Linked DNA regions of Caenorhabditis elegans. The protein of the gene in region 1 interacts with the protein of each later gene in a pairwise test. Each region holds a gene or a part of one and is shown on either strand. Other genes may lie near its edges.

Evidence for each region.
Region 2: the proteins of nud-2 (region 1) and magu-4 interact in a two-hybrid assay, tested with the Caenorhabditis elegans proteins (one large-scale study listed by BioGRID).

What each region holds. Positions count from the first base shown.
Region 1 is NC_003279.8:7,854,899-7,863,034, reverse strand, and holds nud-2 (Protein nud-2), read left to right. Parts: upstream 1-3,617; 5' UTR 3,618-3,631; coding exon 3,632-3,841; intron 3,842-3,926; coding exon 3,927-4,317; intron 4,318-4,366; coding exon 4,367-4,482; intron 4,483-4,748; coding exon 4,749-4,913; 3' UTR 4,914-5,279; downstream 5,280-8,136. Other genes in the region: R11A5.3 (uncharacterized protein), read left to right, coding at 1-122; apb-3 (AP-3 complex subunit beta), read right to left, coding at 5,289-5,585, 5,761-6,182, 6,452-7,445, 7,495-7,629, 8,050-8,136. UniProt on the Caenorhabditis elegans protein: Part of a complex with lis-1, which is recruited to the nuclear envelope by unc-83, where, in turn, it recruits dynein to the nuclear surface and regulates nuclear migration in hypodermal precursor cells.
Region 2 is NC_003282.8:10,006,251-10,014,386, forward strand, and holds magu-4 (PDZ domain-containing protein), read left to right. Parts: upstream 1-3,502; 5' UTR 3,503-3,565; coding exon 3,566-3,852; intron 3,853-4,212; coding exon 4,213-4,390; intron 4,391-4,432; coding exon 4,433-4,678; intron 4,679-4,756; coding exon 4,757-5,042; intron 5,043-5,085; coding exon 5,086-5,333; intron 5,334-5,383; coding exon 5,384-5,619; intron 5,620-5,663; coding exon 5,664-5,834; intron 5,835-5,887; coding exon 5,888-6,198; intron 6,199-6,243; coding exon 6,244-6,492; intron 6,493-6,538; coding exon 6,539-7,241; intron 7,242-7,284; coding exon 7,285-7,459; intron 7,460-7,649; coding exon 7,650-7,745; exon of another isoform or gene 7,746-7,795; coding exon 7,796-7,864; 3' UTR 7,865-7,957; downstream 7,958-8,136. Other genes in the region: F44D12.2 (DUF7622 domain-containing protein), read right to left, coding at 7,995-8,112.

The DNA.
Region 1 (8,136 bases):
CAATGTCGACTCCAAAAAGAAGAAAAAGCTTTGGATCATTGGCTCCAGTTCGACAACATCGTGTCGAGACCCGGAAAGTTGTGCGGAATTTGATGGCTGTTCGACCACCACTGTGCTTCTGAGAATGATTGTTATGATCTTATGATCCCGCGTGAGCAACTAATTCCTGTGGAATATGATTCATTGGAAATCAGCATTAATTATACAAATTGTCCTCATTTTTATTGCTAATAAAAAATAACTTATTAAAAAAAACGAACCTAACAAGAATTTCAAGTTAAAAAATGGTTTTATACCTGAATTATTGTTATTCAAAGCGCTAAACGTGTATCAACTTAAATTTCATACGTGTATCGTAACCTATTCTAACTTCACAATTATCTGCAACGTGTACTTTTAAGGTGCATGAATTTATTCTGATGTGTCTCGCCACGAGAAAAGTTTATGGTAGTCTTCTTCGTTGCGGCGGCTGCTTTTCCGTATTTTGGGGAATAACTTTTTATGAATAAAACGAGCTCTCTTTATTTTTTAAAAGGTTTTCTGTATTTCATTTTTCGAAAAGAACAGCAATAATTAATTATATAATTGAAAAAGAACCGCGGCAAACAATAAATGCTACCATAAACTTTTTTCCGTGGCGAGACCCATTCGATTTAACCCGCGCGCCTTTAAATGTACTATTTTTTGAGTTCGTGTTTTTTTTCTTTTCTCCAGAATTTTTCGCTTTTTTAGAACAGCGCACTCAAATAATATCGATGTTTTTCCACTTTTTTCCTGTTTCTCGAAAAGATTGAATCGGTCATATTGCTGTGAATACGTCATGTGACACACATTCTTCTGTTGCAGAACCCTGTTTCAGTTGACTGAACTTTCTTCTTTGTCATTCCACTTCTTATCATATTCTTCACTAAAATTGAATGTTTTCTGCACTTTTCTTTAATTTTGCAATTTTCCTCGTATTTCAGGAATCAAGTGTTTCCTTTTAAACCAAAACCTTTTATGACGCAGTTTTCCAGAACATTCACGTTTTTTATTCTGAATCATGTGATTTTCCTGGGTGTGGTCATGGTTTTCAGTCACAAATTTTCAATGTTTAAAGTCAATTGATCACCTGAGAAGTATTTCGTAATTTGGCGATTTTCGAATTAAATTGTCTTCGAAAGATCGTAATCGTAGTATTAGCTAACCGAAATTAATTTGTAAAGAGAAGCCAAGTGACAATTCCTAATTGGCCAGTTGTATATGTCTCTGTCAAACTTATTGTCTGTTGCATTGATGACTGCTGGCATTCCATTCTCCTTCTTCTTTTTCATCTTCTCTTTCTCCAACGAAAATCGATTGTCTGCGTGAGAGGAATCTCTAATCCCTCCGCGCGTCCGTCACTCTCTCATCTTCTCAATCGTCTCTCGAAACTCCTCAATATTTTCTTTCACGCGAAGCTATACACGAGACTGCATCAACATTTTCCTTCACTCTCCGCCTCTGACTTCCTCAGTACTGTCTTAGTCTTTCTCCCACACCATACTGACTCATTTTTGATGGTATTTGGCGTCATTGCCTGAATTCAAAATTGTTGTACTGTTTCAAATAGGAGTCTTGCCTGTTTGCTTATTAATTTTAAATTTTTAAATTGAAATTCCCTGTTAACCTGGTTGGGTGGACGATTTCGAGATTTATCGTCATGAAAAGATGGCTTTGAAATTATTATTTTCCACTAGGCCAAATTCAAAATTCTTCGTTGAACGTTTTCAATTAATTTTCCGGGCGAGCATTGAAAATATATGTATTACTGTAGTTCTCTTAGTACGCAAGTTTTTTAATGCAGCATATTTGACGACATATTGTGTAACAGATTTTTGAAACCATCTTTTAAACTAAATGTTTTTTCTTCTTTTAATTTTCAACAATTGCTTTGAAATTTTGCACCATTTACTCTTTTACGAAATTTCTGTCTTCTATTCTTGGCAGTTTTGAGTGTTTCTAAACTCGGCATTTTCATTGCTAAACACGTATTTACTCAGCTTTTGCTTGCCCCCGAACAAAAAAGTTTTATGATCAGTTCAGTTTGTCAGAGCACCAAAATGTCAACACAGAGCTCTCGCTCTTCGATTGGCACTTTACGAGTGAAGTCAAATACTGATTTGATAGGCTTCTCAATGTGGAGGAATCTTTTGCGACGATCGCTTTCTTTTTTTGTTCACCTGTTCGTACTATTCAATTCTTCAGCAGAGTGATGTTAACCTTGATCGTGTCATGTCGACCTGAATAGGAAATAGATGAATCGTATAGTTTGTGTGTATGTGAAGCACTTTTCTCGTTCATTTACATTTTCGAATATCAAATTTAGGTGTGGTACTGCGGCGCGGGAAAAAACGCGAAAAACAGATTATACCACCCCCAACTCTCCTCGTGACGTGGCCCAGTGATTCGTGAATCCTATATTAACCGCTGAAATTGGTCATTTATTATCTCAACCGGTTTCGTGTTTCTGTTCACTAATTCGTACGATTTTCTGTGTTCACCACACCTAATCCAATTAGAACTCAACAACTCGATGAGTCATGCGTAGGCGTTTTGGAATTTCATTTTTTAAATGTTTGTTAATACATTTCATTCTCTCCAAATTCTCACTTACATCATTAGTCTCAATCGTTACAACTAAATTGACCCGCTTAACTTGAAAATCTTTCAAATAATATGCTCAATATATTCTGCATTCCTTATTCTATTTGTTATCAGTTATTATACGCGACCATTGCCGCTCCCCATTCCTCCGACTGCTGCCTATCGTGAGTTTGACCTGAATTTCGTGTGGGAAATTGGACTGTTATATGAATTTAATTTCTATTTCCGAAGTTTAATTATCGATTACTAAAATTGATTGCCATTTCTGGAATACTCTTTGAAGAAATTTACCAATTTTTCTTTTAACACAGATTTTCTTGAATGACTATTCTATTCTATTTACAAAAAGTGTTAATTTTTTCGGAATTAGTTTCTTATAGCAGATTTCTTTGAACTTCATCAGTGTATTAAACCCAAAAAACAGTAAAATTTTCCTTCAAAGTATTTTGAAATCTTCAAAGGTTATCTGATCTTAAAATTATTGCCTATTGGTGTTACTCGCACAGCTGTTCGACTTTTTGTAGCGGAAGTGCGGACGAGCTATGGGAGCAAGGACAAACACAGAGCACACGGCGGCCGGAGCAGCCGGAGCACCCCCACTTTTTTGTTTGCTCGAATGCCTTGTGTCAAAAACTTTGGAGGATTTTCCATCTTTCCTCAGAGAGATGACTTTAGCTGTCTATCAGATGATGGCGACCTTAGATATCCCGATTTATAAGAATACTGAGACTTTTCTTCAACATCGTTAAACCTCAAAAAACATCCATTTGCGGTAGCAACTAATACGTAGTTGCTTCTGTTTTCCTCCGTTCGACCAGTTCTCTTTTTCTCTCTTTCCCAAATGTCCATTCTATTCTCTCACTTTTTGTCCACACGTGGCCGAACGTTGTAAGGGTTTAGTGTGTTCACAGGCGGCATTATACGTTTTTTCCTACGATTCATAATTTTTGTTGAATATCCTGAACAATTTTCTAAACCTTTAATATTTTCAGATCATCAGAAATCAATGGATTTGTCTGAGGATCAAATTCGCGGACTACCGCACCATGAGCTTCTTGGTCATTTCTTGCAAATGCGCGAAGAGTTTAACGAGTTCCAGACAAGTTCCGCGGAAATTGAGAAAATGATGGATTCAGAATTGGATGATTTGAAAACACAACTGAAAAAAGCAGAAACCAGAGTACAGCAGATGACCACAGAGCAAATTAGGAACAAGGTTGGTACTATTTTTTACATTAAAATTGAAAAAAAAAACTTTATAAAATTTTTCAACTATAATTTGAATTTTGTGAATTTTAAAGGATCGACAGGACGATTCCCGTGTACAATTTGCACAAGTCGAAGAGCAATTAAGACGAGAAAACTCACATCTTCATGAACAATGTGAAAGTCAGAGAGAAAGAATTCGAAAACTGGAACAGAGAAACGATGTGCTCGAAACATCAGAAAGAAATAAGGAATATCTAGCATCTGATCTCGGATCGAAACTGGATCATGCTATTGAAAAGATAGCAATGTTGGAAAGTGAGCTTTATGAACGGCAAGTTGCTGCTGAAGAAATGCATAGATTACGAGAAGAACAACTTCGAACAACAGAACGGCCACGTTTGATTGTAGAACCATTGAGGAATGATCCAGAAATTCTGCCGGACGAGCCATCCCCAGGTCCAAGTAAAGAAGAGTTTAAAATGAGTAAGTATTTGTCGCATTTTGAGAATGAAAATAACTAGTACTATTTAAGGCTCGGAAGATGTTTTCATGGAAGACGTGCAGCACCACGAAGATGTTCGAATGGAGGAAACTATTGCAAAAATTGACGAAGTGCGCATCGATGACAATAAAAATATTCAAGAAAAAGTACGTAAATTTTCTTTTTTTGGTGGATTTTTGAAAGTAAATATCCAAATATTAATTCAAAGAAGACCTGCAAATTTCGATCAATTAATAGCTTCACACCTTATTTCGGAATGAAAAACATTTAGTCGAAAAACTCTTGCAGCGAGTTCTAATTCTTTTTTCCCTCACAACTATAAACGATAGCATCTCTAGATGCAGAATAGACCGAAAAAACAATATTTGCTAACCCATTTATAGTTCTCAGCCAACATTTACATAGCTTTCAGAGCCAACGAGTATCTACCGGTACGGGCGCCGGTGCTTGCATCAATCGAATCGTCAAAGACCTGATGACAAAAGTCGAGCGGCTCGATTCAATTTTATCGACGATTCGCGTGAGCAACAACTCGTCTAACAACAATTCCAGTCATCTTACAACGACACGGGCTTAACATTTCATTTTTTGGTTTTTCTCACCTTTCTCGCATACTGTGACTTTTCATTCACTCAGGGATCCTCCATTTCATCATTTCCTTCGTTTCTTTCCGTTATTATTCTTTTCCATGACATCCTGTATCATGCTTATGTTTTATTCCCACCCAATTGGTATTAGACCCCGATTTTATTTGCCCCGCCTTACTGTTGCTCAATATAAGTTCCACGTTCGCCATTCACCCACATTATTTTCCAAATTTCTAAAGTGCCTACATATTTCTAATTTTTCTGTTAAAAATTTATATATCCGTCACCATGAATAGTTAGTAAAGGAATGATTTCAAGAAAAAGTGAGCAAAATAAATAAATAAATACAATTTGAATTAATCTTTCTAGCAATTTTTGGAGACAGAGAACGCCAGCATTCGTCCTATCACCGAGTTGTCACAACAGCACTCAATCGATTTTTCTGAAACTGTCAGAATACAAACATCCTTTCGTGAACGTGTCTGGCAAGTGAAAATGGTCAAATCCGAAGAAAATGCGTTAACAAATAGAGCAATTGACGAAGGATTAATGGGATTTTCGAGTTGTATCACATGCCGATTGAGACCTCCAAGACGACTTCTTTCTTTTGAAATATCTTCTGGAGACAGACGAATTGGTTGAACTTGCTCACCATATGGGACCTAGAATTTAGGAAAAAATTTAGTTTATCTTTAAAAGATGCGGATTGTGGAATCTAGTCAGGAATTATACAAGTTTTGATATAAAATATTAACCATCAAGGGAGTATTTACGTTTTTCAATTTTTTTTGTGGAAAAAATAATTTTAAAAGCCTCTGAAACTATTTAAAAGATTACCTCAAATCTGAAATGCTTCTCATGACCATCATCTCTTGTAAGTATCCATTCTCTACTTGTCGCACTATCTCCAAAATCTACGAGCAAATCAACAGAAACTCGTGCTCCAGACGGAATATCTCCAATAATCGAGTTTCCCTTCACATCGAGACCTTCTTCAGTTTTTAATTCAACTCCTAACAAATCTCCATCGGTTTTGTTTGTGATTCCAAATCGAATAGCCGTGTATTGTCCATCATTAATACGCGGATAACTAATTGATAATATTAGCCCGTTTCCTTCAATTACATTCAAAAGTTCAATTTCTTTTTCTTCGATATGAGTTGCATCCATTATTTGACGACTTCCCGCGGCCGAGAAATCAACGTCAATCAGCAAATCGAGATCATTTCTTTCTGTTTTTGGCTTACCATTCATTGGTTCTGAATTTTTTTGAATATTAAGAATCAAATACGGTTAGGGGTACTGTAGCCACGAATAATACCGTAACTCTACAGATCTGTACTTCAAACACTTTTCATGTTTTGCATATATACCTTACCAAATGTGGTTAATGGGGTTTTTTAAAGTTTACAATAAATCCAAGATAGAGTTATTTCTTGGTATTTTCACGAATTTGTTTGTTTTGGTCCGAGATTTTACAGGAATATTCTTTTGTGCTACCCTAAAATCGGTTTTGATTGAAACTCACTTGATTTATTGAGAATGAGTGCTTGTTTCTTAGTAGATGGTTTTGGGTTAGGCTTCTCCTCTGGCTCACTATCATCCTCTTCTTCCTCCTCTTCATCTTCTTCATCAGATTCCTCTTCACTTTCTTCATCCTCATCATCTTCCTCTTCTTCTTCTGATTCATTTTCTTCCTCTTCCTCATCTTCTTCATCTTCATCCTCCTCTTCTTCATCTTCGTCTTCTTCTTCATCTTCATCATCATCATCTTCTTCTTCGTCACTATCATCCAATTTCAATTCATTCGGTGCATGTGCTTCTTTTCTTAATAACGAATCACTTGATGTTGCTGGGAATTCGGGTAGATCAATGTATTTCGTACATCTTTGATTCAACACATGTGACAGAGATCCCAATTGGAATTTATCACGTTCCTTGAAACTACTAATAAGCTCTGGTGCTGGCTTTTTCGACATGAAAATCTCTTCCATATGCTGTGAAAGAATCTCCGTATTGAACATTAGATTCCGTAAAAATCGGCATCGATCACGAACGTCATAACTGAGATCGAATCGGGCAAGTTGGAATACGTATTGTACAATCTTTTCAGAGTCATCACGCTTCACAAGCCACAACTTCACTGCAAGTTTCAGAGCTTCTAGTTTAACCAGCTCATTTTCCGTCGAAAATTTCTTTGCAATAAGCCTCAAAAAGTCTGGAGCCATGTGTAGAACTTGTTCGACATGGGTGGCGACGAGCCAAATGACACAAGCTCGCGCTTGTGCTGCAATCATATTCGGCATGAGCCTCATAAGCCTTGAAAGAAGATTCAGAGGGGCAGAAGCATGCAAAAGTCTCTTGATGACAACTACAGCAGAGCATACGACTTTCTCATCGGAAGAAGAAATCAATTGGACAAGTCCAGTCATACATTGATCTGATACTGCTCCGACGCGAACTGCACATCTTCCAATTGCCTCAACAGCTGGAGAAGCTAAATCAGACATATGAACATAGGTCTGAAAAATGAAAAAGAATTTCATATGAAAATTTATTACCCTCTCTCACCTGTAACTCTCTCAAAATGATATGAACATTCGCTTCTGAAACCAAACTTGTGAGCACATGAAGTTTTAGTTTCTTAACGAGAGAACTGTCACAGGATCGTACGAAGAATGATTTTAGGAACGGGTCGAACATCGTCTGAGAGTGAAAAAAATTGATTTTTGATATGTAAAAGTTCCATCAAAAGACAAGTACACTGAAACACAACCAAGCAGCACTCCAATTCACTGGTAAAAATATCTGGATTGTCTCATTTGTCAAAACCAAGAATTCTATGTATTTACTTATGAGCAAAAACATCACAGTGCACTTCAATTGAGCAACAATATCGTTCAAAAAGCTAGATATCTCATTTTAAAAGAATTTCAGACAATCCAGATTAAGACAACACAAAAACGGGGAAAGTGACTCTAAGACTGAGACGCTAACCACTGCTATCACAAATTTATCATTTTGTGAAATTAATTCAAAAACTGATAAATGTATAACAGTTTCTTCTAGATTTGTCTCAGTCTTTACATGCTTTTCATGCTATTTTCTCAGTTGCGTTCAGCGCACTTTTGAGATGGCGTAAGTTCCTTCCTCTACCGGATTTCGTTCGCATATTGTTGCAATGTTGGTGAGAACTACGTATTGGGTCTCCCG
Region 2 (8,136 bases), on another chromosome or scaffold:
AAATACTATGTTTTTCTTGATCCACATTTTTAATACATTTCTACTACAAATGTTAAATTCCAGTTTTTAAATTTATTTTTAGTCAAGCACGGCAGTTCTTCTATCCTTCAAAATAAGCGATCAAAAATTGGTTTTGCAGTCTTTGATAGTACTGAACTCACAAGAAATGGTAGCGCATGTAGAGGAAATAGAGGAAATGTGTGAATTTTTTCAGTCATCTCAGGATAACATGTATCTGTACTTTTAATATACCGTAATTTCCCCATTATACTTGCACTGCCTTGCTCCACTTTTACAGCTTTCTCGATTATCTTTGTTATATTTATTCATATAAAAATTGTTAACTGACAAAATATATGCAGAACATTTTTTTAATATTTATATAGTGGAATTGTTTTTGATAAGACTTAAGACAATCGAGATATAAACCGTCAAAATAGATCATTGGGGTGTAAGTCTAATGAAAAATACTATTCAATACTCGTTTTTTGCTCTAACATTTGTATATTTTATAAAATTTATATTTTATAATATTTTACAAATATTTTATAAACAAGATGTTTGAATTAAGGTAAACTAACTTTGCAAAAAACTTAACGTTTCAAAACGAAAGAAGACATACAAAAATATTCGGTATGTATGTGGTGAAGGAAACTGGTTAAACAGTGTCCTTGTGGTCCGTATCGGAAAATTAGATTGTATTCATTGATTATCTTTAAACGGATCATATTACTTGATATTATTTTATTTCAGATACGATTATCTAATTCAAATTAATGGCAAAGTATCATCAGCGGGGATTTTTTATAGTCTAACATGACCGAATATCAATTGAACACTTCTAAATTTTCAGTCAAAGTTTTGGTAATTTGCCAAATTTCCAAAAAAACTTACTTTTGGAGTAATTTCGAGAATTGCTGCAGGTCCGCTAGAATGTACGGACAATTAATCGAAATTAAAAATTCACTTCGAAAACTATGATAGGTTTTTTTACCAAAACAAATTCAATACATGAATAGTTTTAAAATAATATCTGATTCCATTAGTCCCATGAACCACTCCAGTTTCATGAAATTACAGTTTCATTGGTTTATTTCTCGGTTATTCTGATAGAGACAAATATTACCAATTTAGAATGTAATGGTAAGTCGAGGTAATATATATATTTTGATGTAAAAGAGATTTGAAAATCGGTACCTGTTAGGACACCGCATTAGCCAAATTGATCCATGTGTTCTACATAAATTTGCAATTTAATACAAGTTTGAAAAAACTTAAATCAAATTCTCGACCTACCATTTCGCGTACTTTCGCTTCGAGTTTACACCGTATTTAATTTCAAATTTGGGTTATAACTTAAAGGGTGGAGGGATTTTGAGAACTCACTACAGTATGACAAAAAAATCACACACTCCTGAAATGTTTCTTTGGTACAGTTGCACATTTCATTTTACCGTAATACCGAGTAGAAAATTTCAAAAGAATTACTCCTATTTCAAGATTCTAGATTGCAACGATAATCAAAACAATATTAATAACTACATGTGTTCCTTGTGGTATGCTTCTCGTCCTCTAGTTCTCATAAAACAAACATGGTCAAGTAAGATTCCAACGTGAATGAGATGAAGAAGCAGTAGAGAAACGAGCGTGTTTGTCCATGCGTCCCATTCGTACAGTTTCTTTGGTTGTCTACCTAAACTCTCTTGTTTTCAAACACTATTTCACCCACCTTCTCCCGCATTTCTCTTTCACTTTCCGGGAGGAACTGTTCGTTCGTCGTGCGCCCATCGCAACCGACCTGTATCTGTATGTATCCTCTCATTTCTCTCTAATAACCTACTTCTCTTCAATCTACTTGGATACATGATTTGTTATGAAATGTTTTATCTTTTATTATTTCATGAAGTTAGAATGTTCCTTATGAAATTGAGTTTACCATCAGAAGTGGATTAGAATTTAGTCAATGGGATTTCAACTACATTTAAATCTCAGCTATGTATTAAAGATAAAATCATTTTCACAGAAATTTTCTATGAATTGTTACTGATAAACGTCTATTTGTAAATTGTCAACATGCTGTGAAATACACCTAGGACTACTAGCCTGAAATTATTCCTCAACTCCAGTGATAGGTTTCTTTGGTATATCACCCTAAAAACTAGTTACACCTGCCTCGTAGGCACGAAAGTAGGCACCCTCTATTTGCATGGAAGCCCTATTATATTATAGGTAATTTTTCAGATTCACAAGAATGACATGTAGTTCAAGTTCAATTAAAATTCCTACATAAAATTCCCTACTCCTTCTCCTACTCTTTTCATTTTTCTATTTCATCTCAATTCAATTTGAACAAACTTCAAACAATTCGTTTCACACATCACAAACATTGTAAATACACATATATCGTTTGTTGAAAAAAGTCATGTGGGTTTTTAAGGTTAAAGTTTAACCGATTTTATTACACTATCTCTCACGGTTGAAATATTCAAAATAATATTTTCTTCTAGAAAACAGCGTTTCTACATATTCTGTTAAAGCTAACGGCCTAAATTTTAAATCGACTCTATTTTTAAAAAATTGATCAGGTTACCAACTAGCGATGTTTTATATTTTGTTCAAAGGTAGGAGCTCCAAAGTTTGTCAAAAGTCAAAAAAAAAAGCTTAAAGTTTACCAAGAGCCAAGTAAAAATTTATATTATCGAAACATGGAAAAACGTATCAAAACATAGTTTTTTGTTAAGATTCTCTGCCTTGTATGTTTGTATTTGAGGCGATGATGATGGCAAGACTCGTATGTTTATTCTTTTCCTTTTCCTGCAAACTCGTCTTTTAACGGATTATTTCGGACCCATGCACCGCCCATCTTGACCGTATTAAGACAGTTTTTGTGTGAATTTTCGTTGGATCGAAACACTGTGAGTATTGTTTTTATTTTGAAATATATGGATCTTATAATCTGAATGTTCAGTTGGAATATCGCAGTGTGGCTTTTGATCTCCGCACACACTTCATCTGATTGGTATAAAAATATGTGGAACAAATTACTGATTATTTTCACAGTTTTCATTTTGAAAGAAATTCAAACAGTGAGCTTAGTCAGGTTTTGGGAAAATCGTTATCGAAAGTTGAGTTTTTCAGTATTTCTAGTTTTTTTAGTGTTTCGTTTGTGGTATATGTTCCTTCATTTCATTAGCAAAACAATAACGTTGGTCTGTATTTCAAAAATCTGTCATGTATTTCCAAAAGAATATTTAAAAACATCTCGTTTCTATTTTCAAGTGCCTCTATTTTCATTCTTGTAGTAACCTTCAAATTCCAACTAATTTTAACTGTTAATTGAAGGAAATTTCTTCAAATTGTGTTATTTCTAATTCACCCGTCTTCTTCTTTTCCTCCATCTATTCCATACGAACCGAATGAACAAATCAGTGTGATATTCCTGCGCATTCGACCGGTTTCTCACTTATTTTCTTTCTATCTTTTCTCCTATTCCATCTTCTATAATTAGTCCTTTCCGTATGTCGTCCAGTTGACCCATTTCTCCGTTTTTCATTCAGAATTCTATATGGTAGAAGTGGAAGCAAAACCGTCGAGTTTGTCAGTTGAAGAGGATGAAAATGAAAATGAAGAGGAAAAGCTTGAAGATGTGGAAAAAGAGAAATTAGTGAAACAGTTAAAGTTTGAAAAAGCAGAACGAAGACGGATTGCAGAGGAAATGGAAAAAGAGATTCGAGAAGTTGAGGCAAAATGGATGGAAAAAGTTAGAAAAGCATCTGAAGAGCGAGATGATATTGGAAAGAAAATTGATGAGTTTGAAGAGAAAATTGATAGTCTACAAATACAAGTACATAGGTTAGTTCATGATTTAAATCACTAGAAAAGCTCAAAAATGTTTATTGAAAATTAAAAAGACCTGGAATTGGTACCAAAATGTATATGATAAGTGGTAGTTAACTTCCTGAAATTTCGAAATAAAATCAATATGTCATTTTTGAGAGAATTTGTTGGTGCACTTTAAACTAGAGAATTGTCGATCTGAAACTTTTCGGGCCAGTTTTTAATCATAATGATGTTGTAAAAAATTTGAATGGCTTTAAAAATTTGAAATTCAAGTTTTTTTAAACGTTCGAAAATAATTTTCAGCAGAAGAAAACTAATAAATATTTAAAAACCATTGGAAAATGGCCCGTTATGAAAAAAAATATATTTCAGAAGTGAAACATATAAAATGGAAATTGAAGAAGCGAACAAACGGCTACGGTTACAATATGAAGCTCTCCAGAGAGATTATGAGGAAACAATGCAGGAAAGAAGTATTGTATTAGAAGAAAACTCTCGTCAAAATGAAGAGAGGGATCGACTGCAAAAAGAAATTGAAAAAATGAAAGAGGTTTGATTTTACAATGACAATCAAATTAAAAAAAAATTTCAGGATTCTGAAGAAGTTGCTGCATTAAAACAGAAACTTGAAAATACAAGAAGACTCTTGAAAGTCAATATGGAAGAAACTGCTCAGGCAAATGCTCGAAAAGAAGCTGCAATTGCAAGGCTTACAGAAGCAGAACAAAATGGAGCTAGAATTACAGAAGAAAGAGATGAAGCTTTGAGAAAATGTCAACAGACAACTGGAGATGCAATTGTGGATATTTGGAATACTCATTCTGTTCAAATTAATTTGGTAAGTTGAAAGAAAACTCATTTCAATCGTTTCGTTTCAGACAGCCAAGATAAAAATTAAAAACGAAATTAATTTCAGCCCTTCAACAAACCAAACTTGGGAATTATGCTTGGTGGAGGCCGTACGGACGATGGTTCAATTGTTCATGGTCCAATATATGTTAGACAAATTGCTCACGGTTCTCCATTTGATAATGTATTGAAAAAGCTGGATCATATAATGATGGTCAATGACATATCTGTAACAGATATGGACGAAAGAAGTGTAATGGGAATGTTATCCAACTGTCATCACATTCATCTTGTTATTAGAAGAAGATCAAATTGCAATAAAATTAGTGATGTTTGTCTGCCATTGAACTATGGTGAGTTACTTATTACATTTAAGAGTGTAGTTTTACATTTCAGGTGTAGGTCTTGAACTATCCAATGGAGTATTCATTAATTCCTGCGAACCAAACGGTGCTGCTTCTCGTAGTGGATTGGCTCCAGGGCAACGAGTTGTTCATGTTATGCACACTCCTGTTTATGATGCTAAACATGCTGAGATGCTAATTAAAAATTCTCGAGAGCCTCTAGTCATTGGAATTCTTCAATCTACTAAACGAGGTGATCATAATGGAAAGGATAAACATCGACAAACTATATTTTCGAGGGTAAACCTTCGTTATAAAATGCTAGTGAAACTTTAGTATTCTTGTTTCAGTGGTTCAGTCGAAATGGTGGATCTGATAAAGAGCGAACTGTTGTTGCAAAAGCGAATATTGATCGTTCAAATGATCAAGTTCTTCTTCGTCAGGGATCTCTGCGAATGCCACAAGCTTCTCCAGCATCAATGAGTCCCTTGGTACGGTATGGTTCTCTACGTGCTCCAACCTATTCAAGTAGCATTGATCATACAAAATTAATGCTGGATGCACTGGATAAAAGATTCAATGCAAAGTTAGTTTCCTTCAAATTTGATTACTACAAAGTTGAATGTTCAGATCCACAGCGCATTCTGAAATAAGTTCATCTTCAACAGCCGCTCCAACAGCTTTATGGAGCCCATCTTCAGTTAATGAAAAAGATCTCGTATTTGCTGGAACCAATATCGAAGGAGTTCCAGTATATGTTCCTAAGAGTACCATATTTAGCACACCAACGTCACCTGTGACGTAAGATTCTTGACATTTTTAGTCAAAAAAAAGAAGAAAACTCTGACTTTCAGAAGACTAATCCGTCAAAATAGTGAGCAAAAACGAACAATGTCTCAAATATCATCTCATCGAGGAGGATGGGATGGAAGAAGCTTTTCATCGAACACGACAACTTCAGATGCTCGTCCATATTCTATGCACTTCACACCTACATCATCAACTATAATGGAAGGAAAACCCCACAGAAGATCAGCTGTTTACAGTCCAAGTCATCCACCAGTATATCCTACAATTCGGGATGACTCTATGTCTTCTGTTATGTCTTCGAGTAACTCCATTCGACTTCCAAGCACAAGTTTTTCCAATCAGTATCCTAATAATTGTAGGTTTTCAAAAGTTAACTGCTGTAGTCTAGAAATTGTTTCAGCTACCTGCAGCTTGACTGGAGGGAGTGGAGTACCTCCACGTCATTGCATAAGTAAAGATGGAAGTGATTTTTCAATTTCAACAACTGGAAGTGCAATGCACAGTTACGCTGAGGGAAGATCCAATAAGAAATATCACTTGCCACGTGGAAATCATCACTCTGAATCTCTTCTTGTAAACCGTTCATCTCAACCGAGACTGGTCGAGGTTCCAAGAAGTGATGTAAAACTTTGTGGTGGAAATGCGATTGGTACGAGAAAGCAATTCATGTCAAAATAATCTCCGCTATATTTTAGGTATCCTCGCTGAAAAATCAATTGGTTCTGACCTTCTCGAAGGAGATCTCATTTTATCAATCGATGGAAATTGCGTTCGAAATACAACACTCGAGTGTGCAATGAATACTTTATCAGCTGATAATTCGGAGTTAACAGGTCTTCTAGTTCAAGACGGTGGAGATCGATTGAATCGTTTGAGACTTGGAGCTGACGGTGACAGTTTCTTCCTTCGTGTTAATATCGATAGATCAATGGAGAACAAAGATGAACTGGATTTAAAATGTGGTGATGTTGTTTTCGTTGACAAGACTATGTTAATGGGCAAAACTGGAAGATGGAGAGCATGGAAAGTGGACAAAGAGGGACGACAAAGAGAACATGGAGCTATTCCAAGTTCAACGACTGTTTATCAGGCAATTCGAGCTAACAGATATGCAAATCCGTTCCCGAAGAAGGCTTATGAGTGGGTTGAGAAGTTGGATACAAAAGTGAAACGACCGGTTCTTTTGTTTGGAGCAGTTGTTGAGCCTTTCCTTCAAATGCTTGTTGATGAATCTGATAAGTTTTCAATTGTTGCAAGAGAGTCTTTAACTGCAAGTTTGGATGAAGTATCGGCTTTATTGAAGGATAAAGTATTGATTGATTCGAAACAAAACGATGATGTTTATGATCTTTATCACGTCGTATCAACTGCTCATATTATGGATATCACGGCTCAAGGGTTGAGTTTTCAAACATTTTCATAGTTATGCTGAGATTTTCAGACTCCATTGTGTCCTCCAAGTTGATCAGTCTGCAATTGATCGATTGAAAAGATGTAGAATGTTCCCTATTCTTGTGAAGATTCGATTCAAGTCAGTTAAACAGTTAAAAGATGTCAATGAACATATTTGTGGAGAGAAAATCAGTTCAAAAGAAGCCAAACAGCTTATTGAAAAGGTACGGTAATTTACGAAAACATAATTAACCCGCCCGGTCTCTACCGTCGTCTCATTGCCTCTCATCCAAAAACGCAGCGGGCAATTGAAGAGGCGGATCAGAGGCTCTCATCGGAGTCTATAGAAACTTTTCACAATACTTTTTCGAAACTTTTCAAAAAATTTTCGATATACCAATAATTAATTTTCAGGATTTGAAAATAGAAAAAGATCTTGATGGATCAGTTACACTTGTAGTGCCAAGTCATAATAATGTCAGCTTCATGATGACTCACGCTGTTCTACAGGTAATTATTCTTTCAATTCGTGCCGCACTTAACTTTTTATTATTTTTCAGCTGAAAAAAATAATTGAAGACGAGCAGAAAAAAATCGTATGGGTTCAAAGAAAAGTCGATGAAGAATAAATAATATTGAGAAAGAGAACATAGAATCTCCGGTGCTTTTATTGTTTGAAAATGAAGTAATTTGAAGAAATATAAATTTGTTCATATGAAAATATTGAAAGCATTTGTAAAAATGAAAGAAAAAGGTGGTTCAGTGGAAAAGGCAATAATTAATTAGAAAAACGATGGGAATGGCAAGAAAAATCGAGGATGACGAGCGAGCGGAGTCGATGTAGAAAACATTGAACTCTCGGAGATTTGATATATTTCTGAAATAATCAAAATTATTTCTC